Linked DNA regions of Anolis sagrei. The protein of the gene in region 1 binds, or shares a complex with, the protein of each later gene. Links are inferred from orthologs where the notes say so. Each region holds a gene or a part of one and is shown on either strand. Other genes may lie near its edges. The genes, in order: XIRP2 and NEBL.

Region 1 (16,486 bases):
CATGTTTTTATGATAAAAGAAGTATTATAACCTTTTCTAGTTCCTATATGAAACCATATTAACTCAGTTTATGAAGAAAAAAAAAGGAAAAATATGAAAAGAAATTATAAAACACATCACATTTCTCCACTACAAGTTTCATTACTCATTATCAAAACTTTAGATAGGAGAAGAGAGAGAAAGTGGGGAGGGGAGAGAGATTTCTAAAGACTCATCATGGCTATATTGAAGCTATTTCTCTTTTTAAACCACTCCGCTCCTGCAACATAACTTGTTTGGTCCTGCTGCTCCTGCTTGTCATGCAATGCCTCACTGGCAGGAGGACCAGCAATGCTATCGCTAGGGTTCCAGTGAATCATGAAGTGATTTTTTAGGTAGTTGTTGGAGGCTTTCAAGGAGCCCCCAGTGGCACAGTGGGTTAAAGCACTGATCTGCTGAGCTTGTTGATCGAAAGGTCGCAGGTTCGATTCCGGGGAGCGGCGTGAGCTTCCGCTGTCAGCCCTAGCTTCTGCCAACCTAGCAGTTCGAAAACATGCAAATGTGAGTAGATCAATAGGTACCGCTCCGGCGGGAAGGTAACGGCGCTCCACGCAGTCATGCCGGCCACATGACCTTGGAGGTGTCTACGGACAACGCTGGCTCTTCGGTTTAGAAATGGAGATGAGCACCACACCCCAGAGTCAGACATGACTGGACTTAATGTCAGGGGACTACCTTTACCTTTACCTGGAGGCTTTCACAGCCAGAATCACTGGGTTGCTGTTCCAGTAGCATTCTCTCCTGACATTTCACCCACATCTATGGCAAACATCCTCAGAGGTTGTAAGGACTGTTGGAAACTAGGCAAGTGAGGTTTATATATCTGTGGAATGTCCAGAGTGAGAGAAAGAACTCTTGTCTGCTTGAAGTGTGAATGCTGCAATTGGCCATCTTGGTTAGCATTTAATGGCATTGTAGCTTCAAAGCCTGGCTGATTGCTGCCTAGAAGGATCTTTTGTTGAAAGGTATTAGCTTACCCTGATTGTTTCCTGTCGGGAATTCCTCTGTCTTCTGAGTGTTCTTTATTTATTGTCCTGATTTAGAGTTTTTTTAAATACTGGTAGTCAGATTTTGATCATTTCCATGCTTTCCTCCTTTTCTGTTGAAATTGTCCACATGCTTGTCGATTTCAGTGGCTTCTCTGTGTCATCTGACATGGTAGTTGTTAGAGTGGTCCAGCATTTCTGTGTTCTCAGATAATATGCTGTGTCCAGGTTGGTTCATCAGGTGCTTTGCTATGGCTGACTTCTCATGCAGCTGTGGACAAGTTTACATAGGGACCACCACACACAGCCCAAACATGAATCAAGGAACATGAAAGGCACCACAGACTACTTCAACCAGAAAAGTCAGCCATCGCAGAGCACCTGATGAACCAACCTGGACACAGACTATGCCTAGGAGACAAGGTAACGTTTCCAGCATGTTTTTGGTCCTTCCCATACTCGTCAGATATTTTCAGGCATTTTTGGCCAAAGATTTTTTTAAAAATGCAAGAATGTGTTTTGACCCTACAAGCAGGCCTGTAGCCAGGATTTTGTTTCGGGGGGGGGGGGGGGGTGAACTTTTTTCAGGGGGGGGGCTGAGTTTCGGGGGGGGGGCTGAGTCTGAGTGAAAGAGGGTCTAGCCTAACAAACCTTTTGTATCATTACCCCAATACCCCCATGCATATGGGATATATTGAGTATGGTGATCAGATCATGATATGAATAAACTTAACAGTTTAAATAATGCACCAGTAAGGCCTTTTCGCGAACCACCATGAGAATTTCAGGGGGGGGGGAGGGCTGAAGCCCCTCAAGCCCCCCCTGGCTACATGCCTGCCTACAAGGCCTCCCAATGTGATGAAAATACCACCCATTCCTCCTCATTTTGTGACATTCTGGGGCAAAATGGGAGCATTGAAAAAGTGACCCTTGAAGGATCTTGGGACCCATCCCCAGCCCTTGGGAGTACATGTTGCTCATCCTTGATTTAATGGCCATAGCAATTTCTTTTATGAATTAAACAATGGCCGCTGCTACAGGTAACACAATTACGCTATAACATCAGGTATTCAGATTAGCTTCAAATATGTCTAAAACACTACAGTATGTGTCAGAGATGATTATGCGCTTGGTTTTAGATAGCTTTAAAGTATATATATTAGAACAAGTAGTTTTACTTACTTTCCCCCCTTGATCTTCTTATATGATTCTGTCTTTTCAGAAACATACTCTATTTAGGTATTTTGAATATGCACCTGTCATTTCAATAATGCTTGAAGTGTTTCTTTTTTACATAAAAGTCAGGACAAAACCTGGATCTTGAATACACAAAGCATCCTTTTGCAAGGCTTTATGTTCAAGAGAGAATCGAAGTAAAATGTATTCATCCTGGTGAGTTAAAGATTTAGCTGTTAGAATTCTTCAGTGCCACTTGAATGGTCAATTCAAAGAAGTGAAAAATATTTACAGGGAATGCTCTCCCTCATGTCATTCTTCTAATCTTTTTCAAATAGACACATTTTTCATAAAAATCCAGTTTACATAGACATTGCTTTTTGTGTGTCTGTATGAGCACATAATTGAACCAGGTGCCAAAAAGAGTCCTCCCTTTCTATTACCACAATGCTCCTTTGAAAATTGTGTTTAAATGCATTTTTCAGGGGAGCATCATAGCTTTCATCTATTTTTATGACTCTAAAGAGGTTAAGAGTCATTGTTCCATATCATATGGATTTGGTGAGCAGAATTATACCAGTTTGCTATGCTTGTGTGACTATGCAGACGGAGGCCACAGGAGGAAAAAGTTCATAGATCCAGACACTGTGAAGCAAGTCAAGCGTTGGAGAAGTAAACCGCTCACCAGTGGCCTATTTTTTCTGCACATTTTTAAATGGCTGACATCCTTTTGATGTCTTGCACATGAATAAATGCCCTCTGTATGCAATTGGACTTTCTTGTCCAGTGTGTGACATCTGTGTAGTTCAAGGATACAAAAGTGGAATTATGCATATGGTACCTTTGTAGATCATGGTAGACTGTGTGTTGGACATTGTTCCACATTGTGTATTTGTTACCTGATTGCACATTGCACAACATGCCTTAGTGCAGGCATGGGCAAACTTCAGCCCTCCAAGTGTTTTGGACTTCAGCTCCCACAATTCCTAACAGCCGGTAGGAGCTGAAGTCCAAAACATCTGGAGGGCCGAAGTTTGCCCATGCCTGCCTTAGTGGATAATGGCCATTTGGTTGTATAGTGTCACTGTTATGCAAACTCTATGAAAAAGTTCTCTTCAATGCAAGATCTCAGCCAATATCTGCATACTTTGAAGGCATGTAAACATCTTCAACTACAGGACTCATCCACATGCTTACTTCAGGGACATCAACTGAAGATGCAAAGATTGGGGTGGCCAGGCACTATCCATGGACCTTGCAACATCCCACTTTCTAAGAGTTCCATCAGTAAAAGGTTCGTCAGCCAATTCTGTTTTGCCACTATGCTGATAAAGCAGCTGATTAGCTCAAAAATATTGGCTGTAACATAGTTATCACAGAACAGTTAGTCATGCCAACATCTTAAATGAGGTCCTCTGGCATGGGAGTTGTGACATTGCATCCCTCCAAATGTTGTTCAACTCCCACCCTCACATCAACCTTCTTCATCAGTTACATAAAATAGAGTGAATCATTCCTGTAATTGGACTGAGATCAGATTCAAACACCAGACAGTAGGAAAGCTGATCTATGATGCCCTGTTCAGCCATGAAAAACCATGGGTTATATTGGTCAAGTCACACACAACCTCAGAAAGCAAGGGCAAACTTCGTCTGAGCAAATTCTGCCAAAAACCCCTCTGTGATAGGTTCACCTTAGGGTTGCTATAAGTCATAAATGATTTGATAGGCCATACTAGAGGTTAGCTCTCTATTGCTGTGGGACCCATGGGGATTATATTTGTGGTGTTATGAAGTTTATCCATTAAGATCCACTCAAATTTGTCACCCCTGATGGTAACTGCTTTCCCCAGCTGAGAAGGTTTAGCTGCAGGGAGGAGGTGGGTGGGTATTTTTGCCCTTACCTGTTGGAGATGTCTCCTCCTCCCCCTCCTCCTCCTTTCTATTTATAACACACTTCTTCTCTCCAAAAGGATCTCAAACTTCATCTGAGCAAATTCTGCCAAGAAAACTCTGTGATAGGTTCACCTTAGGGTTGTATAAGTAATAAATGATTTGAAAATACACAACAATGGCAACAATAACAACATATCATGGGATAAACTGGAAAAATTGTGGTGGAAAATAATTGTGGTGGAAAATAACAGCAAAGGTCTGAATCCAATTGATTGTCTCAACAAGAAGCATTCCATTGAATCAACCATGAGATGGAAGTAGCATCCTTGTTTCAATGGGTCTGTTCTAATAAGGGCTACTAGTTGGATGAAGACCAATGGATTACTGTAATATGAGTGCAAGCATTTATCAGTCCAAAAGTCACATATCATTTTCCAGGTGTTTTCCCATTGCTTACTATTTTAGGCATGTCAGGTAAATCTCGTTGATAGGTATTAAAATGTTAGGTAGAAAAAAGGTCTAAGACTCTTTCATTCTCATGTTAGTTGTTTCAGATTTGTATAAGTTAAAACCTGTTTTTGCTTCTTTGCACTTTCAAAGTGATACAAAATAGTTGTGTGTATCCAGTAGTCAACAAAGAGTATGGCTTGACAAACCATATCTGACAAGAACTTGACAGCAAGCCTCAATTCACTCTGGGAACTTTCAAGAACTTGGCTTAGATTTGAAGTAAATAGCAAGGGTAGACACTAGACAGTAATTCTAGCCACCTTGCTTAGCACAGTATGTTCTGCCCTGACTAAAATGGTCCCTGGTATATTTAAAATCTCACAAATTCACATACATTACTAGGTGTTTGGGGAAGGACATGCACACTTCTAATTCTGCATTATAGTTTTTCTGACAAATCTTAAGTCAACTGACATTTTGACAGGTACATAATTGTGACACCTGCCAAACCTCTTTGGCTGCAGTCCTTAAACCGTCATTCAGAGGTTTTTATTTATCTATTGTGGGAATATGTTGGATCACAATATTCTGGAGGGATGCAGATTCTTATATTTTCTCTTCTTTTGAAACCATCAACTCTCAGTTCATAAATGCATTGGTGTGTGTGTGTGAATAGATATGCTGTATTTACAACCAGAGTTGTAAATTTTGAACTGTGAATTATACAGAACAATTCCCTTATCTGTAGGAATTTGTGTGATTATATGAAATCACAAATAATAGTGAATTCCATTGAAATGAAAGACTTCATACCCCAAAATACCACAGAGGCATATTGTTATATATAGAAAATGTCTAGAGAACTCATATTTAGACAGAAGTAGATAAATGAAACTATAAGTTCCATAAATACATGGGTCATATTGTATGTTTAGAAGATCAGAGACACAATTGATCTCCATCCAGGCCTAACAATATGGAGAACTGGGCATAGGGCTCCGCAGAACCCTATGTCTAACTTATAAATAGTAGTTAGATTTCCACCATCTAAATATGCATCCAGGGTGGGTTCATGCACACTCCAGGATGGTAGGTTTTATTAGGAAGGCAAGCACAGGCATATCATGCCTCCCTTGCTAAATGCTCATGCCACTGAGAGTGTGTGAAAACGTGTTGATAATCACTCAGCTCATGCTTCTTTCAGTTTATTTGTTAATTGATTTTAACACTATCTGAAATCAAATTCATATTCAAAATAAAATACATTCTAAAATAAAGAAAGAGAGGGAAGAAAGAAAGAAAGAAAGGTGGAGAGAAAAAGACCTACAACTAACACACAATAGAGTTCAACCCTCTAATTCTGACTGTAATGAAAAAAAAATAAGAAAGGGTAAATATTATTCCATTGCAAATTCAATTAAACCCAAACAGTCATAGCTGCAAATCATTACACTGTTAGATTTTGTATTCCTTAAAAAAAGTCCATCACTGGTTTCCAGTGTTTCAAAAAGTCTTCAATTTGTTTGTCCTTTAAAATTCAGAATACTTTGGCAATTTTGGCCTACTCAGCCATTTTAACAACCCATTTTTCCATTGTTGGTACTCCAATCCATGTCTCTGTTTGAGAATCTGCTGATATGTCTTTCAATATTCCTATTACTGTTATGTATACCTACCTCTCAAAGCAGCATAAGTATACATGAAATTAATAATCATAATAATGTATCCATAAACATAAGGATATGAACTTGTCAACTGCAAATCATACTAAATTCCGAAGACTCTGGAGCTCTATGTCTCAAAATGTGAATTGCAGCACTGTTCCAAATACCTCCCCCTACCCCAGAGTGTCTTGTTGCCTTTTTCCCAATTGGTAGCTCTGTTGAAACAAAAACTATAGATAAATTTTATACCTGCTCTTTCTGCATCTACTTTGAATTGTAGAGGAGTTCTCCTAATGCAAAACCTTTATGGAGATGGGGTCCAGCCCCAGGACAGCTAGCAGCTGCAGGAGGAACAGAGATTAAATCCAAATTGGGTTCACTCCTCTGCAGCAGCAAATCTATCAAATCCCTCTGAAATGAAAAGACCCCTAACCACTTGAACCAGCTTTGTTGCACCATTCTTTGTTGATAAAAGCATGATATAGAGTTCATTATTTGAAGGACCATTCTTAATCACCCAGAATTCCTGCAGATTTGAAGTTTCTCAGTCGAAACATCACTAAATTCGGATTGGTTCATAACAATAGAACTATGGGAATTTTCTCCACACCCAGATATAATAATAATAATAATAATAATAATAATAATAACAATAACAATCTGCAAAAGGCCACCTTACTTGGATCTGTGTGCATCATTCGAAAATACATCACACAGTCCTAGACGCTTGTGATTTTGTGATACGAAATCCAGCATATATATCTTGATTGCTGTGACATACTGTGTTTTTGTGTCATTAAAATAATAATAACAATAATAACTTTATTTATATCCCACTCTATCTCCCCGAGGGTTAACAACAAATATCGACAAATATTCAATGCCATAAAAAGCCCAAGACAAAATAGCCCAAGACAAAATAACCCACCACACCAAACAAACCACATCTACATCAAAAGTAACAACAGATTAACAAGAATTAAGTAGTAACATAACAAATATACGATTCTGCATCTTACATTGGGAAGAAACAGCCAAAATCTAAACAAAGCAAAATAAGGTAAAAAATGGAATTTTTGCAGCCACCAGCCTGAGTGACCAGACATTTCCACTCCATTGTGACTATGCATGATATTCAATATGCTTGGGAACAAAAGTAGATTTTTAATTTTTAAGAGGGTAAGGAGGGAGCTGTTTTGATATCTTTGGAGGGGACAATCACGGAGAAGGCTACCCCCTTTCGTTCCCACCAGCTGCATTTGAGATGGTGGTAGGGTAAATAGGCATTTTGAGGCTGTATTTACTAATGTTACAAATTCTACTAAACTGAGAAGGGCTTACTTTGGAACAGACATGTCTGACATTGCATTGTGAAGACCTCATCAGATGGAGGTCCATAAGCCAGGAGAGAGTGGGCAAATCCATGGGGCAGTAGAGTAACCTCTAAACACACTGCTGACACAGAGCCAAGGCAGAACCCCACCAGAAATAGCCCTGTGTTATGTGATAGGCTCCGGCAAGCTCTGCCCTGGCTGCAATTTGGTAGTATCCTAGGATAGGTGAAAAACCCTGTGTGATGAGGTCATGAGTCATGAACTTTACAAATATGTTTGAAACTGATCTTTTTTATTAGAAGCAGGTTAAGTTTGGTACTTGCTCAGTCCTTCCCTTTTCTGCTTCCTTTACCACTAGGAATAACACTGCAAATTTATTTATTATTTATTTGGTTTACTTTTACCCCGCCCTTCTCACCCCGAAGGGGACTCAGGGCGGCTTACATATCCAAGGCATGACTTGGGAGACAAGGGTACATCTACACTGCAGAATGAATGCAGTTTGAAACCACTTTATGGCTAAGTGTTATAGAATCACAGAAGTTTTAGGTTTTTAGTCTACTTTGCTAAATAGTACTAGTGACTCATCCATCTACTGGCAGTCTGAACTTGGAAAAAAACAAGTTTACCGTTTGTTAGGAGAATGAAGAATGAAGTTCTGTGTCAAAAGGGACATACCGAATGTGAACAAAATTACTGTATTGGTATGCAGTAATTGGTATGTAGTGAGATTTTTAAAGGCCATTTAAAGAATTTAAATGATGTTTTGACAGACATTTTCTAGCTTTGTGCCACTCTTATTATCAATCCTAAGTTTCCCTGTAAAGAAATAAAATTAGATATTTATTCATTCATTTATTTACTATATTTATATCCCCTCCCCCTCTCTCACCCCAAGGGGGACTCAGAATTGCTTACAATATGGCAATATTCAGTGCCACATATACAATCAAATAAGATATGATCCATCATATACATAATTACAGATAAAGGCATATAAGCAATGTAAAACTGTTAAAACCACGATACTGCAAAATAATGGAATAATGATGATGATAAAACATACTAATCCAACTGCTTTAAAAACATTAGCATGGCTAACAGGAACCAATTACTTGTAAAATTAACCTGTAAAGTAGCCATTGCATCCAAGGCCAACATATTCTTTGGACTAGTGCCTGCAAGTGAGATTGAAACTTCCACATCTTTCAAAAAAAATACACCATGGCCCTTGTTCTTGTGACTTTCCCCTGTGTGATTTTTTTCTTTCTTTCTGGAAAAGTTATGTGGGCCACATGAAAAAAAGCAAAACCAAATGAGAGCTGCTGTGGTCGCCCAGTTCCTCTAGGTGTTGAAATGTAAACTGACTGCAAAACTACATTTGTTACTCTCGGAAATGTTACAGTGATTTACCCTGAAGCACATTGGAAAACATCAATCATGCCATGGAACCCCACTGCTCCCTCCCTCACCTCTTTGCATCCTCCTCCCACTGAGAACCACATCTGTTTCCTCCTGATAGCTTTTAATACACATCCCCTTAATATTTTCCAACAGGAAGTAGAAATGGAGAGAAGTTTGCAATCACCAGCATTTAAAAATCAGCCTGGGAGCCATTCCATCATTGCTGTGAAAGACCCAGAAGCAAAAGGTGGCAAAACAATTTTTGACAAGATGTCATCCGAAAATGCTCTGAACAACAGCGCTGAAGGTTAGCATAACACTTTTTGATCTGATTTCTTGCTTTCATGCCATATATTGAACAAGGAAGACAGTAAAACATTATGTGAGGGATTTTACCCCTTCCCGACAGAGATTCAAAGTGAAGTGATATGATAATAAATGGATGGGCTTCTAAAGAAACCTGCATTCGATGCTGTAAAGTAAGAATGTATTTGACATCCTGTAATTTTGAAAGGCAGATTTCAGTAGCATAATGTTTGGGGAAGGTTGTTGTTGTTGTTGGGGATTTTTTTTTTGTTTTTTGCAATAAATAAAATGCAAGCAAGAACAACTTTGATTGTTCTCTTCAAGACAGTTTTCCCAGCTTCAAACAGAACAACATGTAAATTCCTTCACTAAAAAATAGTGCAGGGCCTTTCTTAAAGAGTGCTCTTGATCATCAAAATACTTCAAGAAAATGGTGACTGTATAATCAAAGCTGCATTCAATAAAAGGATGAATTGTGCTTTCCAATCTCAGGAAGGAAAGAGCATTCCACCTTTTCTTTTTCAGATGATTGCTTTAAAATATATTTAATGATTTTAGGATAGAATGAGACAGAATGGTGTCATGTTTCTGCAAAGTAATTTTGATTTATTAATGTTTTGAAAATGCTATTTAAATGTTAATAGCTGGTTGTTTAAAAACTGCAGAGTTTGCCATAAATTTCCAGTGCTATAAGAACAAAACTCAAATACTTGATTCCAAGTACAGATACTGTTTTATGTTTTGGAAGTTTCAAGATGGTTGTTTTGAAGTCACTGTAAAGAATTCCCCTGTTTTTCACTGCATAGGGATATAGCCTGTATAATTAGCTAATATATTTTTACATCCAACCTAACATTGCCTAAACCAGACTTGAAAAAAATAGTAGTTTAATGCACCATCCAGTATTAAATGTACATAAGGAGAGCAAGTAAGCATAGTGTTTCCCGAATCACAATACTCTAGAGAAACATGGGGTCAAATTCCCATTCAGGCATGAAGCTCACTGTGTGACCTTGGGCCAATCGTTCTCTCTCCCACCACATCAGACCATAGTAGTTCTACATTGAAGATGCACTTACAGGATTGTTAGGAGGATAAATTGGAAGGGGGAAGAGATAATCCAGTAGTATCTTAGAATAATAGAATCATAGAGTTGGAAGGGACCTCAGGGGCCATCCAGTCCAACCCCATGTCAAGAAGCAGGAAAAATGCATTCAAAGCACCCCCAACAGATGGTCATCCAACCTCTATTTAAAAGCCTCCAAAGAAGGCGCCTCCACCACACTGCTGAACAGCTCTCATAGTCAGGAAGTTCTTCCTAATGTTCAGGTGGAATCTCCTTGCCTTAGTTTGAAGCCATTGTTCAGTGTCCAAATCTCCAGGCCAGCAGAAAACAAACTTACTCCATCCTCCCTATGACTTCCCCTCACATGATCCTCATGTCTCCTCTCAGCCTTCTCTTCTACAGGCCATACATGAATTCTTTAAGCTGCTCCTCATAGGGCTTATTCTCCAGATCTTGATAATTTTAGTCACCCTCCTCTGGAAACATTCCAGCTTCTCAAAATCATCCCTTAAATTGTGGTGCCCAGAATTGGACACAGTATTCCAGGTGTGGTCTAACCAAGGCAGAATAGACTTCTTGAAGCTAGGTGTGCCAAACTGAAGTGACTGGATATTCACCCATGGGAAGTTAGTTGGACAAGCTGCAAACAACCAAAGCAACCTGTATCTCACAAGTAGTGACATCAAGTGACTTTCAGTGACAGATATATTTTTCTGGTCACTGAGTAGGGAGGGGGCACTGACTGACCAATCGGCTGCCTCAACCAATCTGACAAGTCAATAACTTTAGATGACTTCATCATAACAGCAATTTCACTGGCTTCATTGCCATGGGTTCTTGTTTCTACATGAGTGGGCCTGCCTTTTGTGAAAAAATCTTTCTGAAGAGGGGTGGCAGGAGGTTAGATCAGTCACAGTAGAATATAACTTCTCAATATAAAGCAATCATAACGGTCTTTTGTTGAAGAACAATAAGGATCTCTTGTTGAAGAGTTACAGGCAGAAGTGCACAAAGTCCTGCTAAATTTACTGAGATTGTATTAATTGTGCAGAATGTTAATTCAATGAGAAACCAAGCCATATGAGGAGCACCTCAGGGACCTTGGTATATTTAGCTTGGAGAAGAAAAAAATTCAGAAAGGACATAATAGCCATGTTTAAATATTTTAAAGGATGCCATATTGGAGATGGAGTAAGCTTGTTTTCGGCTGCTTCAGAAACTAGGACATGGAGCAATGCATTCAAACTACAAGATAGGAGATTCTGCCTGAACATCAAAAGGAACTTCCTGATAGTAAGAGGTGTTTAGCAGTTGACTGAGTATTCCTGCTTGACAGAATGAGGTTGGGCTGGATGGCCCTTGTGCTCTCTTCCAACTCCATAGTTCTACGAGAAAAGAAGAAAGCACCATTCATATCAGTGGGTTGGTGATATATACCATCATCTGGCCCTTGCCTTCTCCCTGATACTTCTTCACCATTTCTCTCTGTATAGAGAAACGTATAGTACTTTCCCCTCCCTTTTCTTTGGCAAGACTATAAATGTCAAGTTGTGTTTTTATGGTTATACAGTTGGCCCTCTGTATCCACGGATTCTACTTTTACAGATTCCACCATTTATAGCTTGAAAATATTATCCCCTCCCCACAAAAAATCCAAATAGCAAGCCTTGATTTTGCCATTTTATACAAGGGGCACTGTTTTACTGTGCTATTGTATATACTAGGACTTTATCTATGGATTCTACACTGCCACATAATCCAGATTATCAAAGCAGACAATCCACATTACCATTTTTGAACTGGATTATATGAGTCTACACTGCCATATAATCCCGTTCAAAGCAGATAATCTGGATTTTATATGGTAGTGTAGAATGGGCCAGAGGCTGGATCTACATTGCCTTATATCCCAGGTTCAGAACCCAGATGATTTGCTTTAAACTGGAATATATGAGTCTACACTGCCAAATAATCTGGCTGTGTAGATGCACCCTGAAATGACAACCAAATGAGAAAGAAGAATGCTGTGGATATCATCAACTCTCAGACGCCTCAAATTAGGCAAAGTGGGTTATCCCACAAGGCATGGACAGCAGCATCTCCCATTTTGCATTAAGACCTGTAAATATGAATGCCAGCAAAATAAGATTAACGAAGTCAATTTGATTTGCTCTGCTTATGCACAGTGGTGAAATCTCCTGATCAACCTTGATCCATCTTCCTTTAGGGAAGCACTATTTCTTGTCATGAGCCACGTAAATCTTCAGCAAGGAAAGTGGCAAGGTGAATGAGGAGGGAATGGAAACCTGTCAGAGATGTGCTCAAACTGAATCTTATTTCTGCATTAGCTAGATCATTGGGCTCTAGAGCTGTCCAAACATATTTGCTGGAATTCCCACTAGGAAAATATACTTTTCTCAGAAACATAGTATTTAAAAAGAGGTTTTTCTCATATTTTCTACAAGGAAGACTCATATATCAGGGTCCTGAAGAGCTCTAACAGGCTTGCTGATATTTATAATAGCTAGGCTGTCAACATCTAAGGGGTAATAAGCTGCATTTTTAGCCAAATGATTTCATATGCTGTAGCATAAACTATGAAATTCAAGCTGAAAACAACCCATATTTCACTTGATGACACGCCAAACTGGACACTTAAATCATGTAGTGAAGAATATGCTGACATTTGTATTACTCATCTGTGCTCTGAGAGAATTATTGTGTGGCTATTGCATCATGGAAATGAACATTTTGTTTTCAAAATGGTCTTTTTTAGTAGTAATGAATCAAAGTATTCATATATTTAGTTTCATATACATGAGAGGTGGAAATGGACAACCATAGCTAAGCAGAATCTGTTCATAATCAACAGTGTCATTGCTCAGAAATTTAATTCTGTCTTTCTTTTCACTTGATTTTCAGCGTCTTAATGCATCATTTACACTTAATTCCCTCAGGGAAGGAGTGGGAAGAGATAGACCTGGATGCTCATGAAATGACTTGCAGTAGACTGACAAGGGTTTTTGCCTTCCAATTGTTTGCCATTTCTAGTAAATAAAGAACAGTAAAGAAATCAAGAAAATTTGGATTATGAAACCAAGGGCTTGTTGACATTATGCAATTCTAGTATGTATTTTACAGTTCACACAGAGATATACTCCTGGAACCTTTTCATATTACACAATTCTAGAATTGTGATCCATTCTAACCCCATGGAAACATCTCATGAAATCCTGGGATTGGCAGTTTGGTGAGAGGTGTTTGGAATTCCTAGTAAGTCCCTCACCAAACTCTAAGACCCAAAATCCCATTGAAGGTACCATGGCAGTTACAGGGGAATCACAATGCAAGAATGGAGTAATATGAGAACGTTACAAATCTATATTTCTGTCTGAACTGAAGCTCTATCGACTTCTGGTACCCAAAGCATAGCTCTAGGCTAAGAAATCGAAGGATTCATCTTTTCAGTCAAAGTCTGTATTACAGTCAACACACCATAAGGCAATAAACTTGTCAAACACATCAGTAATAAAAATAAACGTACAAGTAATATACAGAATAAATATGCAGTATATAAACAATTCACACAAAAATAAAAGAAAGTTCTAATATCACCTTTTGTGAGGTCTGGCAGATGAACAAACTCTGGTCCTATAATACATTGCTTGTAAAGATCAGGTTCCTGAGACATTCCACCTTAGGAATTTGCTCCAGTAAACCTTTCAGCAAAACCTTAAGGAATATTAGCAATATAGGCAGTTTCCAAGTTCCAAACAAGATAGGTTCTATAGGTTTGCTCATAAGCTGAATTAGTATGTATGTCAAAACAAATACATTTTAAGTGTAACTCCAGCCATGTGTGTGTATACACACATACACACATCTATGTGTGCTTTGGATAGCATAGGGAAGGGTTGACACCCCTGTGGCATTTGTTTTGCTGTTTGTTCCCCTGTTCAGAGGTTTTCACCTTGCTTTCTGTCTCTGTGATAATTGAATTTTGAAAAGTTTGGCTTGTTGTGGAAACAAGGCTTGGTGATAAAGCTTCAGTGGAGACACCTTTTCCTTAGGATAATTCTTTCAGGACTGGATTTCCCTTCCTAGGGTAGATTTCCCTCACTTCCTGTTTTCTCACCCCTGTTCTTAGCTATGAGCCATTGGTAAGTTTGTAACTTGGGGACTGCCTGTACTGACCTTTGTAAAGATGGCTTTCAGCCAAGAAGTATTTCTGGCTTTACACCAAGAATGGGCAATCTCAGCAAATTTGGGAGCCATTTTTTTCTGCCCCACGGCATTTGAAGGAGTCACATGAACTGCCCAAAATGCCAAACTATAACAATGCTAGGAAGCTGCAGAAAGCCAATTTCCTGATTTTGAAATATGAAGGTTTGTAAGTGGAACAGTGTGGAGGAGAGGTGTGGTCAGTTTTAAAAGTGAAGCACCTCTCTTAGAGACTTTCAAGATCAGCAATTTAATTTCCTTTTTTGCCTGAAAAAGTCAAAGATAGTGCAATACCTGGCTTAAGGACTACTAAGTTCTTCCTACCACTTGTCCAATTCAACCAGGGAGACTACAACCACACACATCTATTTAATTTAATTTAATCTGTTTAATTTTGTTGTATAATGTACAATGACAATTAAACTATTCCATTCTATTCAATAAGGAGGATTATGGGTCTTATAGGACATTCCTGGACTCTAAGGCAACAAGGGGCAAATTCTCACCTGCTAAGAACAGAGTTCCAGGCCAGAAGGCAGGCCAAGAGAACTCTAGAACCACAAGAGGGGAACAGGGGCATACAGCAAGAAATACAGGAAAACAAAAGTGACAGTAGAAATATGTATGCATGGAAAACTAACCAAATTATAGCAACAATATGGCTTTCACAGAATGACTTGAAATCCCATGAGGCTGTAAATACAGGGTGACTTCAGAGCTCAGGTTTTGTATTCAATACTCTTGGCAATTCAGAAAGGCCCAGTCAATCCATCTCGAATGTCCAAATCTGAAACTTCTGGCACAGGCAGAGCCATTGTATTGATCCCTTGGTAAATGCTGGGGTTTGATTCCAGGACCCACTGTGGATACCAAAATCCATGGATGCTCAAGTCCCATTATATAAAATGGCAGAGTAAAATGGTGTCCTTTAAATAAAATGGCCAAACCAAGGTTTGCTTTTGGGGTTAAAAAATATTTTCTGCTATGGATGGTTGAATCCATGGATGCAGAAACCATGGATATGGAGATCAGATGTATTCACTTGGAAGTTTCCAAGCTACAGAATAAAAATTAATCATTGATGTGGAAGTTCCTAAGCTACTGATAATGCAGGTGCCCATGAGAGAGCAATCCATCCTCTTAGCAGTAGAAACTTTTAGAAGTAAAACTGCCAGAAGAACCCAGAAACAAAAAGGCAGAAGAGCAAACTCCCTTATAGATGTGGTGAAACAGAGAAGGGTGCTGAAGCAGAGAGCTGATTTCAGGGATGTGGTATATTGAATTATATGGCTGAACTGAGAAACTTCCTGGCTTACAGCATAAGCTCTTCTCCTTCATATGAAGCCGTACTTTCAGTATCTGCAGAACATTGCTCTCTTTTTGGTTTTCAGTCACTTGCCTCTTCTTGCTACACCTATGAATAAGCCTATTATTTTGTCTGCTTGGAGCTGTTAATGTTGATTTCTGACAGAAGTACGACAAGGTGAAGAGTCAAGATATTGCTTCACCGCCTGCACAGCTTTCAAAGTGCATTTGAATGTCTTCCGTCTGTTCACAGCGGTGCTGATGCTGGATTCCTGGAGAAAGTGCAGGAAAGGACAGCCAAAATGAGTCTGGAATGCTCTCGGTAAAAGGAAACGCGAAACTGCTTAGAAACATAAAGACAATTAAAGGAAGACATCAAGTTTATAGTGTATACACTCTATGGAAAAAGAGGATAAAGAGGGTTTTCCTTCTCTCCTACAACACAAGAATGTGCGGGTGGTAATTGCCCAATGAGATGCATTATCCTTAGGTTTAATAAGAAAGAGAAAGGGAATTCTCCTTTGCAACATGTGCTGTCAATTTATTGAAGGTATTTGACTGTGGGGATGGACAGCTAGCATACACTGACATGTGAAATCCAGATTATTTGCTTTGTAGACTCGTATAATCCAGTTCAAAG
Region 2 (16,974 bases), on another chromosome or scaffold:
CTGTTTGTGCTACAGCTGTTTCAGTTAATTGAAGAGTTAATTGAGAGTGTTATTTTCATGTGTATAAAGATAGCTACTGTGTGTTTAGCCATTTGCCATTGTGCGTTTATGCTATTGTGCATCTATGCCTCTGTGCCGTTCTGCTTTGTGTAAGCCGGGGACTATGCTGCAGATGTCCTGCGAAGACACAGCCATGAGAAGAGGACAAGGATTCCTGCTTATCTCAGCTGAGTAGTGATATCTCTCAGAAGATATTGTTTCATGTTACTTTTGTGGAAACAGTAATCCTGCTACTTTGTTTTTGTATGCTACCAATACTACAATATTTTTCTTTTCTACTTTAAGCTGAAGTCTCGTGTGTTTTTCTTTTAAGAGCCAATTCATCACACACACAGTTAACTGGGCTAGAGTCAATCTTCATGCTACTCATGCTAACACATGACAGGAGAGACTATAGTGTATTACTGAGACATTCAAAACTTCATGTATTGAACATTTCAAGTCCCAGGTTCAATCATTGGTATCTTCAGTCACACTTTTTCTTTGAAAGGGCTACTTTATTGTGTGCTTTTCAGATGCACAATCCAAATAGCAAAAAAGAACAAGATAATAAAAGCAGAGGATGACAACAGTTTAGAAAAAGCAGGATGATTGATTGATGAAATTTGGCCAGCTGTAGTCTGGGGATCTGCAAAACTATTAATGCACTATGAGTTCAATTTACAAATGAAAAATTAAGATGTTCCTTCATGTATATTCTGAGCACTGAAAGTATGTTCCTCTGATGCTTTTTAGTGGCAGTCTGTTCTCTTCATCCTTACCTACCTCCTCCCATCCTCCCTCAATTCCTGGTTTCTTTTGAAGTTTGATTTCAAATAGCTGTACATTGTGCAATCTTTCCAATTGGGTTAATGATACAATACATTTTTCCATTCCTTCTTTTTTTGTTTATTGGGTACAGTAGTTGGCGATGTTGAGACTTATTGTGGGAAGTTGTCCTATTTTGCTACATTGTCTTCTGTTTGTGAAAGGGTGCAAACTGTTCAAATTCATTAAATATTTTCAAAAAGATTCTTTATATGATAAAATAAATTTATGTAGTACACAGAAGTAACTTTAAACACTTCTATTCTTTTAAATTGTGCAAAATGTTCAGTATTTATTGAACAGTATAGTATACTTTTGAATAGAATTGTGTTTGACTGGTAGCTACATCGAGCACACAATCTGGTTATTTATATCAGTCACTGTTTTAAGTTAAATTGTTATCACTTTAAAATGAATCTCATGAATACATATGAACAGTGGAGGGCTAGGTCTAAAAATATTGATTACCAGGAGAGATAGTAAAGAGCTGACAGGCCTATGGACCTCATCAGAAAGCCCAGGCAAAGCATCCCACTACACTGAGGTTCTGTAAGGAAAGAGGGAGCAGTGGGGCGAATCAGTCGGCTTGCATTATGTTTCCTCTCTGTGACACTTTCCTCATCACATTGGGAAAGCTTCACCCTTGCAGGGAGCAAGCACAACTTGGAGGCAAGCACAATACGGGAAGCCTCCCATGTTGGGGTGGAGGCACCCAGCAATACTTTTACCCTGGATGTGAGCAGGGCCTCCACCTGATGTCACACAGCATTGTGTGACCTGTCAACCTCTGTCCCCTAGACAGGGGGGAAAGCATCACAGGGTGATAAAATCACTCAGTCTGATGAGGTAGTAAATGATGTATGCATCAGTCTCACAGAACTCGAATCAGAATTATGCTTTTCAGAATTATTATATTCTTAAATATAAAGCATCTTTTAAATTGATTTAATTATTATTTTATTAAAATAGTAATTCAACATAAATTTTAGTTGCATACACTAGTAATATTGGACCTCATATTTTAAAGCTATTTATTTATTGTGTCAGAAGCAATTTGGGAATACAGTTATAATGCATAAAAACCACAAAGTTAAAAACTTAGCATTATGCTAAATTTCCTTTGACCAGAAGCTGGCCACTTCAAATGCCTCTGATGTCACTGTAAGGTCCTCCATTGCGCATGTGATTTTCAAGCTACTAAAATTGCCACCCTCCCCCAAAATTAAACAATATGTTAAAAATGTAAATGACCTTTTAGTGGCTTTTGTTTTCCATCTACTAAAAGGTCATTTACATTTTTAACATATTGTCTAATGTTTATGAGGGCAGAGGCACTTGCCATTGGGCACGCTGACATTCTGGCCAGTCTGCCAGTGAATATGAAAGCAAGCTGATCCAAGTTCCTATCTTTTGCCTTTGGTAAAGGCACAAGATAGGAACTTGTAATCACAAAAGTTTCAGCTGTCCTTCCTGACTATGATCAGGCACTGTTTTTTTTTTTTTAAATTGGTATGCAGCTGCTAAGATGCTGGTGGCTGTGTATTTTATCATTACTTTCAGTTGTTTCTGGCTGCCAAACAACATTATATTATGAAAAATGCATTTCAAAGATCGGCTCCATACAGGCATGTAGCCCGGGGGGGGGGGGGGCTTGGGGGGCTTCAGCCCCCCCCCGAAATTCTCATGGTGGTTCGCGAAATGGCCTTACTGGTGCATTATTTAAACTGTTATGTTTATTCATATCATGATCTGATCACCATACTCAATATATCCCATATGCATGGGGGTATTGGGGTAATGATACAAAAGGTTTGCTAGGCTAGACCCTCTTTCACTCAGACTCAGCCCCCCCGAAACCCCCCCCTGAAAATTTTTTAGGGTCCCCCCCCCCCCCCCCCCCGAAATGAAATCCTGGCTACGGGCCTGGCTCCATATTATGGACTTTAATAAAATTCATTCATTTTAGTGTTGTAAATTTCTGGTCTTAATGTTAACTATTTTTTGTTAAAAAAACACTCTGTTTTTAATGTTTTAAAGTTTTACACCCCTGGTCTGTGACCGTAATAATAAAATTCATTCATTCATCAGGAATAACTTTCTATTAATTTATTATCTGATGACATAAAATGTTATCTTTTTTCTGTTTGATAGGTCAAATACAAACGAGACTTTGAAGAAAGCAAAGGAAGAGGTTTCAGCATTGTAACTGACACACCAGAACTGCAAAGGCTGAAAAGGACTCAGGAGCAAATCAGTAATGTATGTGACAATGACAGTAGATCAGAGAAATGGTGCGCAAATGAAAAGGCATGGTTGGAGATGGCTGATAGGTTTCCAGTCTGGAATCTGTATGAGTGCAGAAACTGGAATATTTGATGACTTTGTGTGTGTGATTGAGATTTGGTTTACATTAGCAGCACATTGGTAGTGTGTGTGTTCCCTCTCCAAACCAATTACTGTCAAATATTCCTATCCTGACTGTTAAAAAATTCACATGCTAGAAAACATTCTTGCAATTAAGACTATTTTGCAAAGTTTTATTTTTAATAATATTATGCAATAGATATACTTTGCAAATTATTTGGGGTAAAATTTGCAAAATGATTTCACAAATAACTTCAGCTTCCAGAATTACCTTTCTCACAAGAAATATTACCTTATATACAAAGAACTGTGAGTGGAACAACAAGTCTTTTTTCAGTGAACATTGCTCAAGATCTAACAGAAGACTTCTCATGGTGGAGCACCACAATGTATCAAGGATTGCAGTACAGTGCAAGATAAAATGATAAAAGGACGTGGATCTGGATCATCTCTTGGGTCTTGGAGACCTTGCGCAAGCAAATATCTGGGATTGTGTTTTTTGTGTTATTTGGAAGGATCCAAGCTATTGTCAATATTTATTTATTCAAAGTGCAAAAGTTATTTATAAGATAAAAATATGTATGCATAAACGTATACTTGAAGAGCTCACAGCAAGTACCATGGAGATTAATAGTCTGAAATGTGAGCCATGGTGTAAACAAATGTCACAGCTTCATAGTTTCTCATCCTCTCCAGAGGTATCATTATTTCAGTTTTCTAACCAACTATTGGCGGTGTGAAGATAGGAAGAAGATTTGTTATGTTAATTCAATGACATTTTAGAGGAATAGTTTGTGCTGCAAGTTGACATTGGCTTATGAATAAATCCTTGGAATTAATGAAGATTTGGAAGTAATCTGGGAGGATACCAAAAGGACATAGAAGTTTAGGGAAAAGGTAAATGAGTGAGGGGCCAGGTGATTTTTTTCCTTCCCAGATTATTTTTTTTAATTACAATTATAAAATTAGGTAAGAACTTGGGGCTTGGGAGGACCATTTTGACTGGACTTTCCTCAGCTCTGATCGAAGTCATAGTGGTAACCATAAAGAAAATGTTTTAATTATTTTAAATAATTGATTTCATGCAGTTTCCCTGCATAAGCATGCATATTAAATGGTTGATATAGGACTTCAAGCATACATATTTGAAATTTCATTCACCCAGGAGTGTAATATAAGACCCTTTCCTGTATATTTTATACTGTAAGATTTATATCTGCTTATAAGATTACTTTTGATAATAAGGATTAATTCCTCCACCATTGATTTTGATTCCATGTGATATGATAAACTCCATTAAGCCTGGCTTTATGAAGTGTTTGAGTCTAAATCCAATTGGTAATTCCAAGTAAAGTAGAATTAATAGGTTTACAGTTAATGAAAAATTCATTTATTTATTTAGCCTGTAACAATCTTATAAGTATCTTGTTATGGTAGAAACAAATGTTTACATTTTAATTGTGACTTTTCAGAATATGTTTGAGATGGCTGATCAGTGAGTAAAGTAAGTAAATGGGTTTATGGTTGCTGTCCTCTGAAATTCTTAGTCGTTAAAATGAAGACTTCATATATTGTGACTAAATAACACAATTCATGAATATTCTGCTTGCTTCCTTTAATGTTAATGTTTCTTAAGTAAAATGTGGAAGTTTTTTCAGAAAGAATAGGAAGAGTGAGAGAAGAGCACTGTTCAAATTCAGATCATAATGATGTGTCAAGAGCAGATTCATGGATTCAGGTGTTCTGATGATGTTGAAGAGAAGGAAAACATGTTACTGGCTGGTAAGTTTGCTATTTTGTTCCCTCTAATGTGTGGATTTCTGTTTTTGGCATTAATTGGATTGCATTATTATGCCTGCATCAATGTTGATATAAGCCATGGTTAAGACATCAAGACTATTATGCCTGCAGTCACCTTGATGTCTTCTACAAAAGAATGTGAAAGGTAAGATGGTTGGAGTGCAACCTACCGAAAGGCAAGTTTCTTATGAAGAGATGTCTCTCTATATAAAATGTATACCCTGCCAAATTCTACTGAATATTAAAGGTCTAAATTTATAACTAAACAGTGAGGACAGGACTGATTTGAAGAGCAAGCATATAGCCCAAGTAAAAGGCTTGATAGAATTCTGTTGTCATGGCAGTCAAAAATAGGTCTTTCTTATATGGATTGCTCTCGGAGTATTAAATAAATTAACTGCTTCTCTTAATGACAAGTTTTAGACATTTTGGTTCACCTTTCCATGGTTGGGTGGGCATTTTAAATTGCCTGTGCATTTTCCAATTTGTGTGGTGTGATTTAAGATGCTTATAAATTATTATTTTTTCAATATTTCAAATTTAAAATATTCACATCTATTCTGCTGGGACAGCACACTGATTTTGGGCTTCGGAGTTGTCTGACTACGGCATTTGCTGAGAATGCAGGAACTTCACATTTATCTTACTTGTGATCAGGTGCCTTTATTTCTTTTTCTTGTAACAGTTAATTTTCAGTATGCTGTGAAAGTTACTTTGTGTGAAAAGTATATAAAATTTAACATCCAATTTAGGAAATGAGTTTAGAAAATGAACAAGTTTTTATAAAGTAATATAAAATCTAGTAAAATAATTATCCAGTTGCAATGCCGTTGTGGCGTCTACAGCATTTTTTTACAATGTGATCAGAGAAGCATGTTGTTAACATTTGATACTATCTGCAAATGAACATTTTAATTTATCAGTGGGATGTTGTATACACATTTGTCTGTTCTTGGTAGTTTCACAATTGTGTTGGTTTAGCACCATATAGTGATATTGGTGGAAGATCCTAGAGAGAAGTTAGTACTTTCCCAAACTGCTTGGAGGAAGCAGCCATAGTAATGGAAACTATTATTATAAAGAATTCCTGGTCTCAGGTAAGCAGTCTGTAACAGTCCCCGAGTTACAGACATCCAGCTGACATAGTTAAGAACGGGGAACAGGAAGTGAGAGAAAACTACCTTTCGGAAGGAAAATTCACTTCCGAAAGAGTTATCATAGGGAAGAGGTGTCTTCACTTCACCATCAATTCTTGTTTCCACATTTTTCAAAATCCAGTTGTCAGAGGGACAGAAAATGAGGTGAAATCTTCAAAACAGGCACAGACAGCAAACCAAACACCACAAGGCTGTTAACACTTCCTTATGCTAAGCAAAGTGTGCACACACACACACACGTGTGTGTGTGTATGTGTGCATTCTGTTACTTTCTGTTCCTCAGACAATTGGCTGTAGTTACACTTAGAAAATGTACCTGTTCCTTCTATATACAAATTCAGCTTAAGAACAAACCTATAGAACCTATCATGTTCATAACTTGGACTACCTGTACTCTCCTTGGGTACAACTACATTATAGAATTAATGCAGTTTGATACCAGTTTAACTTCCATAGCCCAATGTTTTACAAGGCATTTTGCCCTTCTCTACCAAAGAGTGTTGGTGCCTTAGGATTCTATAGTATTGATCCATGACAGTTAAAATGGTGTTAAACTGCATTAATTCTACAGTGCATGTCACTCCTGAACATTGTGGAAATGTTTGGGAGTGACATTCAGCAATCTATTATGTCTGTCATTTTTATAACATCTTCAGTGAATGATTGTAAAATGATCTTGATATTAAGAGTGCTTTCTCAGCTGACATGGATTTATATGTAATCTATTCATTTCAAATATGACAAAATCATATGCTAATCACGATGTAAACAGTGACTACCAGATGGATTTTTGAATGATAAATTAAAATTTATAATTATACACAAATATTTGGTGGAAGCTGTTAATATGTTTATGATTATAAGTTTTAACATGGTGAATAGGGTAATTAAATAATTGCTTTAAAATATCTGGCTGGCATTCTCTTGGTGAATTATTGTAGTGTAAGCCAGACTTACACCATCACAACTCACTTTTTTGGCCATTGCATAATTCACTATTGGGTGCTTTAATGATGTCATCTGGAGGGACCTCCTGAAGACGGTCAGAGATCTGTTTGTAGATGTCTGTTGCAATGCACCCAGATGGAGGAAAACAGTTGGATCCATCCCTTCTGCCCCCTGAAATTTCACACCAACTTTATTGTCATAGTAAGACGATCCTCAAGTGCTTTGCACTGTGTTTTGGGTTACTAACCCCTTTGAAAATCTGATCAAACATGTGGACATACTTTCCAGAAAAATACACATAAGCACGTAAGTGCAACATTTTGCTTGCAGTGCCTATTTGGAAAAACAAAACAAAAACAAAACATGGCTGACATCCTATTCACAAGGTTCTAAGCAGGATATGTGATTTCATAACTATTGGGGATTTATTTATTTATTTTAAACATTTATATTCCACCCTTCTCACCCCGCAGGGGACTCAGGGTGGAGCACAACATATATACGGCAAACATTCAGTGCTGGGACATAATTTATGGTCATTAATGTCAGGAATGACTACAAAACCTACTGTTTTATCCTGACAGTGTCTTAACTGAAGGGTTTCAGATATAGTTCCTTGCCCAATCAAAGGGTGCCATGAGACCTTGAGGAGGTTCTCCAGTTGCCTGTTCTCAGTGTGTCTCATAATTGGGAGAGTACTTCAGATACCATTTCCAAGCATCCTGATCTCCAGTTCTTTGGAAACCTTTCAGTTGAGGCTGAAAGTTTTTTTTTTGAGGAGGGACATTATATATTAGACGTACCTATGATGGTAGAACTTTGTCATAGTAGTTATATTGGATATTGAAGATTGCAGCTCATATATAATAATAATAATAATAATAATAATAATAATAATAATAATCTTTATTTATACCCCCCCCCCCCCCACCATCTCCCCGATGGGGACTCAGAGCGGCTTACATGGGCCCAAGCCTGGACAACATATTACAGCAAAATGAAACCAAAACATTATCTTAAAGTTCATAGTGATGGGGAAAATGATAACTAATTAAAATGGAGTGTAAATAGTCGTATTTTGGCACCCAGTTCATGGATCCCATAAAACCCATCAATGATTCCATTATCAGAAGACCTAATATTTCTTGAGACAATCCAAGTGTCATTTTGGTATGCAAAAAAGGTAAACATCTACTTCCTAGGCAGAGGTTTTCTGTTCAAGGAGAACTGTAATAAGCACCACAGTCTCAACTACCTAGACCTGTGTATGACCATTCTGGTACCCCTAAAATCAAATGTTTCATTTTTGCAACTATAGCTCTATTTCGAGTATACATTGCATTTATTTTTGGATTATTTCAATCATCACTGATATTTCATATGTAATAGAATATAATTCAACTTTGATTATCAAATAAATATTGAATAAATGTTTCCAGAATATCTGCCATTACCAAGTTTATGTAGTCTTAATATCTTCAGGAATGTCAGATTGTTGGTTTACTTTTGTATAAGGGATTCAAGTTGTTGCTTTTTTTAAAAATGAGAAATGACATGTTATTTGTATAGAGAGGCTGCACTGGAAATTTCCTGTCACCACAAATAGCCATACTAATGTAACTAAATTTGCTACTTGCTGATGATCATGAGCTGTGAACTATCTTGATTTAATTCTAGCCTCTAAGTTTACATTGAAAAACAAAACAAAACAAAACCAATCCTATAATTAGAATTTGTTGGCACATTTATGCGACCTGTTTACTTGTTCAAGCATAAGCTGTGTCTGGAAATTGATAAAGCACCTTGCAGTGAGAGTTGGCAGGGAAGGATGTTAAAATCAAAGCCAATGTGTGGACAACAAAGCTTAAGTGTCTGAAGACATTAATTTAAGAATTTTAGACTGTATTTCTATAGGCATTGACCTAGGAAATAACAAAGGAGTTGTGGTAGGCATGCATGGGATAATGCTGTTATTCTGTTTTATTCAAATGACAATCTGCTGTGTTTCCCAAATTATTAAATCACATCTTATTCCTGTTTGAATAAATGGGTGGATTTTCTTTCCTAACCAAATAGACGCCACTGGTTTGAAAGCATAAATGAAAACGATGAAGTAAATTGGAGACCGATTCCTGTCATCTAATAATCATGTTTCTTCTAGTTTCCTAATCAGGTAAGAAAATAACTTGCATGAAATTTCTGTGCTTTTAAGTCTGAAGGATTCAATCTTTTGCTTTGAGCTGCAATTGATAAGCATATTTTCAAAGTACAATGGCCTCAATTTAGATATAATGGCTTCTAGAGAGAGAGAGAGAGAGAGAGAGAGAGAGAGAGATCGGGCTCGATTTGCTCTTCCCATTTATTAGTAATTTTGTCTGTAGATGGTTCCCGTAGAATGCCCTTCCAGCACCACATTTCAAATGAATTGATTCTTCATTCTTCTTTTTCACTGCTCAGTCTTTTTCACCTGTACACAGACATTGAAAATACTGTGATACAGATGATCATTGTTTCAGTATCCACTGATATATCTTTGCATTTGAGGATGTTATTAATTTCTTTTTTAGCTATTGCTCCAGTCCTTTTCTTCTGATTTCCCAATTACATTGTCAGTTTTGATACATAACTAAGCCAAAATATGGTAAGTCTTTGACCATTTCAGTGTCTACATCTCCTACTGTAAAGCTGTGTAAATCATGGGCAGTCATTATGTTGTTTTCTTAGTCTTTATTTGTAACACTGCTTTTGCATTTTCCCCTTTGACTTTTCTCAATAGTTGCTCTAGTCATCACCTATTTCTGCAAGTGTCGCCTGTGTATCTTAACTTTTTGTTCTTATTTTTTCCAATATCTCCCTCCCCAATGTTGGGAATTATTGAGAATTACCTTCATTCTAGCCTGATTTTGTGTTGGCGCTGTAGCTTTGTGTCTCTGGCTTGGAAGAGGATTGACTTGGCACAGTTTGACTCTTTCTTGAACCTGCCCTTTATTTGCTCCTTTTTTGCCTCATCTGCCAGTAGATCATACTCAACAGAACAGTTCTGCCAGCATGTTGCTTTACTGGCAGATCTCTGAAATGATTTTGCCAGCAGAAGGGGATTTCTGCCAGCAAAGAGACCTTTGCCTGATCCTTACCCCCTATAGCCACTGAAGCTTTGAGTTAGTGCTGCACTGTTAGCTGGCATAGACTGAACAGGAAAGTGTTCCTGTGATCATGGTACATGGCTCAGTGAAAGTATTTGATGCATGTTCATAGCAGCTGTCAAAATGTAAATTCCATCTTAGGGATCATTAGGAAAGGGATTGGAAATAAAACTGCCAATATTATAATGCCGTTATTACGGCACATCAGGTGCTTTCTCTACCTCAGAATGGATGTTGTGGAGCTGAAAGTGATCTCAGAAAGGGAAACCAAAATGGTTAGAATTCTAAAGCATCTCCTCTATAAAGAGACATTGGAACCATTTACTTAGAAGAGATATAAAAGATTATGCCTGTAGTGCAGAAAGTAGATGGAGAAGTTTCTCCTTTTGCCAGAAGAATATGAAAACCAAAGATCCAAATGAATATGTTTGGTAGGAGATTCAGAGTGATTAAAGTGATTATATTTTCACACAGTGCATAGTTGAATTTATGGAATTCACTGCCAGTGATGAGCAGCTGTGGTTCCCGAGATGTGGCAAGAGTAGAGTTCTCTTCAGCCATGGGCTGCATAGCTAGATGTTATAGATGGGCCATATTTTCCAATCCTGGTATAGACCAAGGCTTCTGAAATATTTTCAACTCATGACCCTTTTTTGTCTGATAAATTTTTATGAGACCCCAAGTATATAGGCATGAAATAGATATAAAAACCAAACATTTACTGATAAATCAGCATTTATTTTTATTTATTTATTTCAAACATTTATATCCCATCCTTCTCAATCTCCGAAGGGGGACTCAAGCATTTGCAAGGCTTGCTAAACAGGCCAATTTTGCTTTTTGTGGAGGACAGCTGAAGCATTTTCTGCAAAGTACTGTAAATGTTGCTAACAGATTTGTGTAATCTGTTGTTGATTTTTTTGTGACATTGAGCTATTTTTTGTGACATTGAGCTGGGGGTCCCATTTGGGGCTGGGACCCACAGTTTGAGAAGCATTAGTATAGACAAGCAGCCCAGTGTGTTTGGTAGTATTTCTTTAAGGCATTAGGCAGAGATCCCTCTCACCATTGGTAACATCATTTTACATGAGGGTGCAATGTTCTCTGTTATTGAGCCACAGCACCCCATCTGTTCACAGATTTTATCTGAGTGAGATCGAAAAATCTGGTCCTATAATTCATCCTTGTCACTATCTGGTGCATTGGCTCAGCAAAGTGAATATCAGGATTACCGATGACTGTACTTTTCTGGCACACTGTGAGTCCTCTAAGGCTTTAGCGTAATATCTACGTCAGCGGATTACACAGGAGTTAGCCAAAATTGTGAAGTAAGCAGTCATGACACTGTGATCTTTCAGAATCTCTTTTATATCCAGAATTTGATGAAAAAACATTACTTTCTCTCTGTGGACCAAAGCTGTCCATTTTTATTGTTGTGAGAAAACTACATTAGAATAAGCACTTTGGGGGGGACGGGGGACTAGATTCTGGCACCAGGATGATGGAAATATTTGATTACATTTAATTATTTTAAAATATACTATTCCTAACCATCTTGATACAGTATTTCTTAATCAAAATATATAGTGTCATAAAGTGATATTTTTTAACATTACTTATTAATTGAGCAATAGCATAGATGCACAACACTGGCAATTGGACTTTAAAGGTACAATGTTTTCCAAATCACTACTTAAAATGCAACTTCGGCTGTAAATTATAAGCCTGCATATAAGCCTTTAAATAACTCTTATTACCTTTTAGAAGCTCAAAATATTTTTTCTGTATTCGCTTTTCTTCATGAAATTAGCCCTCCTTTCCTCTCCAAGGTCAAAAAAGTTTGTATTTGAAAAATATAATGGATTATAGAAGAAATGAGAATGGGGAAGGCAGAATTGTTTTTCATCAGCTGCTGACTTCTTATGGTTGCCTTGGCCTCGGAGTTATTTATTGCATTTTTATGATTCATCATCTGCCTGTTGACTGGGAAAGGTTTTCTGTTCTGTTAAAATGTTGAAATATAGATGAATAATATTGGTACCTAGCAGTTTTCTTCTTTGTGCCTATTTCATTTAGCTTATTTATTAATCTAATGTTAGTTTTAATTTTTGATATATTTCATTCATTTAGTTGCAGTAGTGGGATTAAATAGCTGGAAGAAAAGTGATGAGATTTACAGCTACTGCAGGATGCAATATAGTAAAATGCAACATAGATTAATTAGCAAGATCATTGTTAGGATAGAGTTCCCTCAAATGGCATAGTGCCTACTATGGGCCCATTATATTGTTGCAGTTTAAAATATAGGTATTATATTTGTGTTTTCTTGTGAATAACTGGTATTATTTTTAGCACTAATATACAAAAACTGGTCTATGTGATATAGTGGAGAGGACAAATTTGTAGCAGTCGTTTTTTTAGTGAAATACTTGGCTCGATTTTGGAAGTTAACATTTGATGAGAGAGTACTAGAGAGGCCTAGGTAAAAAACCATGAGTCAAGGCTTGGAAGAATGCTCACTAAAGCACCGGATAGCTGCTTCCATTCAGAGTTGATATTATTGGCCAAGCTGGAATAGTGGTCTAACTAGATATGAGGCAGCTTCTCACATTTCTACATTCCATGTTCTACATTTTTGTGTATCCTACAGTGGAGCAGGAATAAAAGGAAGATTGCATAGTCAAGGAGGTTATCTTGAAAGTCTCTCTTTTAAAGTCATCTTGATTTTTATTCGGTACCATAGTAAGATCATGTTGGATTTACATTTTATGGAGTTGAATTTGATGTCCCTGAGGCCTTGTCTCTTCCTTGAAGAACTCATTTTTGTTAACTTTTCCTTGACCAATTGTTTCAGCATTCCTTTTCTTATATTCTGCATTCTTACTGATATTTATGATTCGTCCTGGATTAGCAGGCTTTTTATTTTGTCTAAAAATATAAAATGCTACAATGAGCTGCCTTATACTCTGTTGTATGGTTGGTATAGACTAGCGATGAGAGACTGCAGTGCCCTTGATGTGGCTGGAGTACAGCTCCCATCAGGCCTGTAGCCGGGGATGGGTGTGGGTTAGGGGTTCAGGTTAAAAAAAAACTTTTTCAGGTTAAAAAAAACCACCTGGTATACTCATGAATTTTAACTGGTTAACCAAATCCACATGCTAAGTCTATGAGATGCAAAAAATTAAGAGTCCCTCCAGAACTGCAAGCACTATCTCAAGCAAATATTGACAATTCATTCACACTGTCATTACTTGTAGCAATAACCGATGTAGCAAAGCAACCAAGTTGGGGTGGGTGGGTGTTGAATGCTCTCATTAAGGAGGCCAGACTTGATGGAGGTGGTTGACAGGGGCGGAACTGCAGGCTATTGAAGGCTGCCCTGTCCCCTGTGGTGCTCTTTGCTTCAGTGTGAGCTAGGAGGCAGTTTTCAACTCTCTCCCCCCCCTGAAATTTTCAATCCCTCCCCCCTGAATTTTTTTTCTGGCTATGGCCCTGGCTCCCATCAACCACAGGCAGCATTGGTAGTTGTAATGGATAGGGCATATTTTACCAAGCTTGGTATAGATGAAGCTGGTACCTGAATTTGGTAGCATTTTTTCAATTCTTTGTGGTGATCTCTCTCACCATTGGTAACACCATTTGACACAGAAGTGCAAATGGTGATTTAAGTATACAAAGCATACAGCCCGAAAAACCTACAACAACCCATACAAAGCATGTTCTCTGTTACTTGGCTACAGCACCCTCTGTGTATACAGCCCTTATTTGAGTGAGACCAAACACTTCAAATTCATCAATATCATTATCTGCTGAGTTGGCCCAGCAGATTGAATATCAGAATTATTGGTGAGTGTGCTGTTCTTGCACACTATGAGTTCTGTAAAGACTCTAGCCTAACATCTACTTCAGCAGATTACACAGGAGTTATTCAAAATTGTGAAGTAAGCAGTCATGATGCAGTGATCTGAATGTAATCAGAATGCATTTATATTCATTCACCTCATTTCATTTCCACTTAAATATTAGCTGAATCATGCCACTAACACAATAGTGTACAGTCATGGAAACAAATCATTACACAGAAAATCAAAGTAATTCATTATTTGCATTGTGCAGGCATGCACCGAAAGTACTGTTTAGGTTTAAGTCTTGCACCTGGCTACTAATTTTCCACTTTAGTCTGAAGACAAGACCATATTAAGACATGCTGAGCTACATTAAGTTTAAGGGACGCCATCATATCACAACCCCAAAATGTATATTATTGTCACTCTATATTGGAGTGGCTGGGTAGTCAGATTCCAACTGGGCACTTAAGCTAGATCATATGGTTTCTATTGGAATAGGCGGCTCCCATTTCTGAAACTGTCTGTGTAACCTAAAAACCTGCTCTGGGGGAATTAGGAGATGTTCTGGATCAAGTTTTTAGGGTGCATAGGGTGTTGCTGGGAGTAATGGATGGTTGGATATCCTTTCAGTTACAGTACCTTATCTGTAATATATGGATGGCAATTTGAAATACAGAGCACCAGTGTGGTATAGTGGTTTGAGCTTTGGGCTATGTTTCTGGAGACCAGGCTTTGATTCTCTGTTGGTCATGGAAATCTACTGGTGGCCTTAGTCCAGTCAGATTCTCTCTGTCTCAGAAAAAGGCAAATGCCCTCTAAACTAGTGTTTCTGAATCTGTGGGTTCCCAGATGTTTTGGCCTTCAACTCTCAGAAATCCTAACAGCTGGTAAACTGGCTGGGATTTCTGGGAGTTGTAGGCCAAACACCCGGGCATCCACAGGTTGAGAAGTACTGCTCTCAACAAATCTTGCCAAGAAAACATGATATGACCACCATAAGTCAGAAATGACTTGAAGACACACAACAACAGCAACAGGTTTAATATATAGGTAGAGTATGCAGCTTGCAGCTCTTTGGATATGTTGGATTGCAACTACCAGCAGGTGACACAAATGTGAGAAATTGTGGAAATTGCATTCCAACACTATCCAAAGTGGAGGGCCACATATTCATCCTCACTGATCTTAAAGCAGACATTACATATTAAAATACACGCTTCAGGTTCTTCATAGTATACCTGTGTCTTTCAGGTATAAAATGAAAAGACCTTCCTTAACAGAAGTATGCGTAATAATTTAAGTAGAGATTGAATTTAATGGAAAACTGCTGTCCAGTACAATCTGCACCATATTATTTCCCAGTTGAATTGAATTGTAGCTCTTGTAAATGTTTAAGAGTAAGTGTTACTGTATACCAGAAACAGGATATAATTTAATGCATCATTTCTTCTGACAGACTTTCCCCTAAGAATCTGTAAATGCAGTGTCAGCACACAGTATGAGACTTCCCAACTTAAGTAAATTAAGTTGTTCGGGCAGTATTTTTCAGTGTGACAGAAATCTATAGTGTATGTAGTTGCACTGTGATGATGACTTTTAGTTATCTTGTTGTTGCAAAATTTTGTTTATTAATTTTATTTGTAAGGTGTTTTTGGGTAAAACTATTTGCTGGAAAGAGGCTTCTCTATCCATCTCAGCTATAAGTTAAACTGCACAATCATGTTGGTGTTGGCTGTATGGTGATGGGATTGCAGAAATGTATATCATGACTATTTTACCTGTTCTGTCCATGTTATCCTCTGCCTGCTCCGCCATTAGGTCTTCGGACTGTGCTTGGTCTGGAACCTCCCCCGTGGCCACTCCTGGGAGTGCACGACTCCAGTTGTTGTGCCTACAGGTTCATCGGAACATGCAAGCCCCCTCCCCACGACAAGGTGACAGTCTATCGAGGGGACTGTGTTACAACGGCTGGGAAGGTGGAAGAAGGCTGCAACAGATTGAGAAGCCATGGTCATTGTGTTAAACTACACCACCAGTGGAACCTCACTCTGTGAAGACTGTGTGTTGATCAGTTGTGCACTGACCTCCACACATTTAAAAAACTCATGCACAGGCGTCTTCCAAAAAAAAAGAAAAACAAACCAACCAAAGTCCCATGGCGATCAGCGAGTGGCGACGGGGGCAGGACCGTGAAATCTGGAAGCCCCTAGTCACAGACTGGCACATGGGCAGTGGGTATGGACTCAGTTGTTCTACCTCAAGGTCCGAGGCAGTTGAGTAGTTTGGCAGCTGTATCCATGACTGAGCAGTCCTTTTAAGGATCCACTCTGCTCACCCCACATGGGGAGGGGGCTAGAAAAGGTGCCCTAAACATAGTCAGCCTCTCTTATCCCTGACTGGACTGCCGCGTCCAGTGGGGTCACCACCCTGCGGCCAAAAAAGAAAAATGAACTTCGGTACATGGAATGTACAGACACTGATGGACAACAGTGACAGTGAACGCCAAAAATAAAAACTAACTAACTAACTAACTAACTAACCTGTTCTGTCATTACAGATCAAGGGGAGCCATATTAGTATTTTACTTTCAGATTTGCAAAGCCTTCAGTGGAACAGTTGTGGGAAAATTTCTTCCAGAAGGCATAATAATGCTGATGGCTTAATGTGGTGTAACCCCTGCTTATGTCAGTGTTAAGTACTGTATTGGGACTTTCACAAGAAGGTATACAGTACACCCCTTTGCCATACCTTTGCCTATATGTATAAGAATAGGAAAATTGGCTTCTTGAGTCAAGCTCTGCCTCCAAATACAGGTGTATATGTAGAGACCTTCTGGCCACGTGTGCA

What was found.
Region 2: the proteins of XIRP2 (region 1) and NEBL are in contact, whole or in part, in a crystal structure (PDB 4F14), measured with the Homo sapiens proteins. The link is inferred for Anolis sagrei from reciprocal best matches to the Homo sapiens genes XIRP2 and NEBL. Residues at the interface, in NP_689594.4 of Homo sapiens: Pro2420, Pro2421, Pro2422, Thr2423, Leu2424, Pro2425, Lys2426, Pro2427; in NP_006384.1 of Homo sapiens: Tyr963, Asp964, Tyr965, Asp969, Asp971, Glu972, Ile987, Asp988, Asp989, Gly990, Trp991, Met1004, Pro1006, Asn1008, Tyr1009.

What each region holds. Positions count from the first base shown.
Region 1 is NC_090021.1:196,393,658-196,410,143, reverse strand, and holds the start of XIRP2 (xin actin-binding repeat-containing protein 2), read left to right. Parts: upstream 1-9,095; 5' UTR 9,096-9,110; coding exon 9,111-9,255; intron 9,256-16,486.
Region 2 is NC_090026.1:107,519,072-107,536,045, reverse strand, and holds the start of NEBL (nebulette), read left to right. Parts: upstream 1-8,536; 5' UTR 8,537-9,309; intron 9,310-16,974. UniProt on the Homo sapiens protein: Binds to actin and plays an important role in the assembly of the Z-disk. May functionally link sarcomeric actin to the desmin intermediate filaments in the heart muscle sarcomeres.